Callithrix jacchus: one gene and its partner. The protein of the gene in region 1 purifies or fractionates together with the protein of each later gene. This does not show direct contact. Links are inferred from orthologs where the notes say so. Each region holds a gene or a part of one and is shown on either strand. Other genes may lie near its edges.

Region 1 (2,771 bases):
CTCAAACTATCTGGACTCCGTTTGAACCAGTTAACCCACTCTCTGGCTTTGGGAGTGATCCTTCTGGTAACATGAAGACTCAGCGCAGAGGAAGTCAGCCATCAACTCCTCGTCTGTCTCCTACATTTCCTGAGAGCATAGAACACCCACTTGCTCGGAGGGTTAGGAGCGACCCACCTAGTACAGGCAACCATGTTGGCCTTCCAATATACATCCCTGCTTTTTCTAATGGTACCAATAGTTACTCCTCTTCCAATGGTGGTTCCACCTCTAGCTCACCTCCAGAATCAAGACGAAAGCATGACTGTGTGATTTGCTTTGAGAATGAGGTTATTGCTGCCCTAGTTCCATGTGGCCACAACCTCTTCTGCATGGAATGTGCCAACAAGATCTGTGAAAAGAGAACGCCATCATGTCCAGTTTGCCAGACAGCTGTTACTCAGGCAATCCAAATTCACTCTTAACTATATATATATTACATAAATACTATATCTCTATATGGACTCGTAAAGGCATGGGTATAATGGTACCCCCCAGTAAACTTCCTAAAGAATTCTTATGACTGTTATCAGGCTTTATTGGGATTAGGCTAAAGTTGTTAGTAAACTTATAAAAGGCTGCTATGGTAACACTAAACCTAAGTGGTCTCTTGTCTATTAGTTTGGTTTGAATTATTAATACTATCCTGTAGACCCAGAGACATAGCTTATATAAGATTGCTAAAGCTGAAGTTCAACTTGGCTGAGTGAAGATAATCATAGGTTGTGTGAGCCTATGAGAAAAGTGTATACATTTAAGATTTCAAAACAATGGGTCCCAAAGCCTAACCACTTTAAGAGTTTATGGGAGGGTACTTGGCATTACAGACGACTCATACACTTCCAGTGCTGCCTTCTTTACACTGCCAGTTTTGACAAAACAGGTTTGTTTGTTTGTTATTTTACAACAACTTATGCCTAATTCTGCAGGATTGCAAATAACTTTTTAATGCATTGTGATTACTTATTGGTAATAATAGGGCTGGTGGCAGTTTACTAGATCACTTGTTATAATTTGGGACAAAAACTGCTACATCGACTTCATCTCGCCCAGAGTGCTCAAGGCTGGTGTGATCAGTGGATCAGGAATGCAGTTGTGAATTCCTGCCCATTGCCTCTCTTGATGAATGTGGAAATGGCCACCTGGGTTTTCCCGTATCAGGAAGGGCTTTGGGATGGCACCTATATTTGCTAATAATTGAGGATGCGAACATTCCATTCATTAGTCTGATCGAGCTGTTAATTTTTAGACTATAGATCAAAATGTGAAACATTTTATGTTCAATCCATATTTGTCTTGCACATTATAAATATATTTTTATTTTTTAGTAATTTAGGGGAGGGAGGAGGGAGAAAGGGATAATGATGCCCTTGGCATAATTCACAAAAGCAGCTGTGACAACCTCCAATCAGTTTACTTCATTTCCAAACTATTTCCAATCACAAGGAAAGATTTCTTTAAAATACACTTGTACATTTCACCTGTGGATGTCTATAACTTCATCCTCAGTATGTTCCCAAATCTGTGCTGGCATCGAAAGGACAAAACATTATACTGGTGGATTTTTCTACTAATTATTTTTTGAAGCATTATTTTCCCAACACAAAAGAGCTTTTTTTCTCAGTATAATGAAAATTGAAATCCTATGTGTATTCAATAGTAAATAGACAAATTTTATTTTTTATTTCCACTTGAAGAGTTACATTTCGTATAAAAGTTTACAAATAACGGTTTTTATTTTGATTTTTTCAGTATAAAAAAAGTTGCCTTGATGGCATATTATGATGTAAATGCTAATTGCTTGTAGGATAGTAAATGTCAGTATTGAAACTTAATCTCTAGCTGCCGTCTTGTAGATATGAACGAATGTTCACCAAGCATGTATTTTGTATTTTGTTGCATTGTACACTGCAACTAATAAGCCAAGGAATCGACATATATTAGGTGCGTGTACTGTTTCTAAAAACCACAAACTAAGAATGATAAATTATCAATATAGTTTAGTATTTGCTAATTTTACTACACTCTTTTGTTATGTATATGTAGGGAAGTCATAGGGATTATAAATTCAATTTGAGTAAAATTTAAAACCATATATTTTATGATAAAGGGCCTTTAACTTAAGATGGCCAAAGCACTGATATTATATATTTGCTGTAAAGAGAATTATAAGAGTTTTATTTTTCTGATATTAAAAGTTACTTAATAAAGACTTGTTTCCATTAACTTGAATGTATTCTCCTTGGTGTTTTTCATGTAATCATTAGCAGTTTAGAAGATTAGTTATTTAACTAAATTTAAAATTTCCTTTTATAGACTCTCTGTTTCCCAGCCAGCTATCTGTGCTCACTCTTGTAGTTATTTTGTGTGTGTGTATGTTCTTGGTTTTGAATGTGTCGCTTATGTTCCTGTCCAAGTTTACTTTTTCTTTAAATGAGTGTTACATTATAGTAAATTGGAGATTTGGCTGGTCATAGATTTAGTTGCATGTTTACGTAGTTGACCACAAACTACTACTGATCTAATTGTAAATAGTAAATGACTTTTTTTATACATTGTTACTTGAAATCCTGAATTCAACCTAAATTCTACTTGGTTTGCATCCTTTGTTTATGGACTTTTGTCTTTTTATCACCAAATCTATAAAAAAGATTCTTTTCTAATACAAAAGCACCAGTTTACCTTTCAGGTAAAAGTACCTCTGAAATGTTGACAAAAATATTTCTCCATTT
Region 2 (2,179 bases), on another chromosome or scaffold:
GTATAAGCCTGGTGTGTTTTTCTGTTATTACCAAGTAAGGCTCCTTGTTTCTAAAGAAACTAAAAATCTTTTTTAAATGATAGGAAACCCATGATGTGAAACACATTAATATAACACATTTCTTTTTTAAAATGCTGTTTTTAGTACATTTTATAGACCTACTTTGATTATTAACAAATTTATATCTTTCCCAAAGTGTTTCTTCCACATTGTATTTTATAATATTGTTCATATTTTTTAACAATGTTCAAAATATTATGTTCAAATATTCAAATAAATGTTCAAAATTTATGCTCAAATATTGTTTATATTTGTGTAATTTTTAAAAGTACACAGATAATTGGCCTTCCCATTTTACCAGTGTGTGCTTTTTCATCAGTAAAGATAAAAGGGAAACATGGCTTCTTTAAACTTAAATTTGTTTTTACTTACAGAAAAACATTCTACACAAAAATCTCCCTGTTTTCTATTCAGAAAAATAATGTTCTGCCAGACTAAATTAAGGTTTTTTTGTGACTTTTTTTGTTCATTGCTCTTTCTTTTAATATGATATATCTGATGCATTTATTGATAGAAAAAGATCTGTAGTTCATAATGATTCTCCCTAGGCAGGATAATAGTGAGTAAGAGACTCCATCACTTCTTCCATATGTCTGTTATATTGAATTTTTTTATAGTGAATATTTTTACTTTTGTGATCAGAAGAAAAATTTCTAAATTTTATATTTGTATAATCACTGTCATGTTATTTCTTTGAATAACCTATCAGTGATTTATATTTATATGAGGTTCATATGTGTGTATTCTTAAAACATTATTTTTCTTTGCCTCCTTCAAATTTATACAGGTCCCAAAGGCAAGCAGTTAGAAGGAACCGAATGTCCACTCCATGTCGTTCACCCACCCACTGGGGAAGAGTTTGCTCTGGGATGTGGAGTGTGCAGAAATGCCCACACTTTTTAGAAAACTCAGATCCTTTGTCTACAGAGAGAAAAGTTGTCTTCATCCCCCATGAGGATGCGGTGAGGTTAAAACTCTGCTCAGGATAAGGACGGGACCATTTTTACATCCATGAAAATGAACCATTCACAGTGCAAGAAGGATGCCAAATACTTTGTACATAATTCTTGCTATGAAAAGTTTCTCCATTATTTTCGTTTATCTTCTTTTGAACAGATGACATCAACCTTGTGAGGTGTTTGCATGTGGCCATTACCGTCATTGGCCTGTGAAGCATTGGACATTTATAGATAATTGATATAAAAGAATCGCCATGTCAGTGGACTAAGAATGATGCTGGCTTTCAAGCAAAAAAAGAAAAATAATCATTGTTTATTGTATACTGCCTTTTTGTAATCCTGTACAATTGCATCACAGGTGGGGATAAAAAAGAGGAATATTCTGGATTATTTCCTAGACTGTTATTTAAAAAAAAATTGTGTTAGGACAGCATACAAATGTAATAAGTATCACACTGTATATAAAGATATCAATGTTTGTCCTGTATAAGAATTACTAAATTACAAATGCAGTTTCATTTAAACTTCTAGGTTAAGTTTGAGCCTGAAATTTTAATGAAGTGCAATACTGAGTGTGCCTCATTATCTTGCAGCTGTAAACATATTGGAATGTACATGTCAATAAACCCACTGTACATTTTTATACAGTGATAAAGTCTACCGCTGTGGGAGGTGTTGTTTGAGAAACAAAATTTAATACCTTTATGGTCTAAAAGTCCAGTTTTCCTCAGAAATGTACTAACATAATTATAATTTTCATAACTGTTAGGGAAAATAAGAATAGTAATGAGGTTTAGTGTTGGAATCTTAAACCCTGGGCAGAAATCATGAATATATATACATTCGTAGGTAGACGTATTCATACCGAGACAGAAGAAAACATTTAGGAAATTCTATCTTAACTAGCAGAATTGTGAGCTTTTATCTATCTGTTTATGAGACAGGATCTCACACTGTCACCCAGGCTGGAGTACAGTGGCATGATCTCACCTCACTGCAGCCTCCACCTGAGCTCAAGTGATATCCAGCCTCAGCCCCCTGAGTAGCTGGGACTGTAGGCGTGTGCCAGCACCATGCCCAGTTAATTTTGTAATTTTTGTAGAGATGGGGTTTTGCCGTGTTGCCCAGTCTGGTCTCAAACTCCTAGGCTCAAACCATCT

The links. The genes of interacting proteins can lie anywhere in the genome.
Region 2: the proteins of MEX3C (region 1) and MYCBP2 purify together in Homo sapiens (affinity purification with mass spectrometry; 3 studies listed by BioGRID and IntAct, with this or other methods). This does not show direct contact. The link is inferred for Callithrix jacchus from reciprocal best matches to the Homo sapiens genes MEX3C and MYCBP2.

The regions. Positions count from the first base shown.
Region 1 is NC_133514.1:94,375,207-94,377,977, reverse strand, and holds the end of MEX3C (RNA-binding E3 ubiquitin-protein ligase MEX3C), read left to right. Parts: coding exon 1-464; 3' UTR 465-2,271; downstream 2,272-2,771. UniProt on the Homo sapiens protein: E3 ubiquitin ligase responsible for the post-transcriptional regulation of common HLA-A allotypes. Binds to the 3' UTR of HLA-A2 mRNA, and regulates its levels by promoting mRNA decay.
Region 2 is NC_133502.1:38,262,211-38,264,389, forward strand, and holds the end of MYCBP2 (E3 ubiquitin-protein ligase MYCBP2), read left to right. Parts: intron 1-847; coding exon 848-963; 3' UTR 964-1,679; downstream 1,680-2,179. UniProt on the Homo sapiens protein: Atypical E3 ubiquitin-protein ligase which specifically mediates ubiquitination of threonine and serine residues on target proteins, instead of ubiquitinating lysine residues.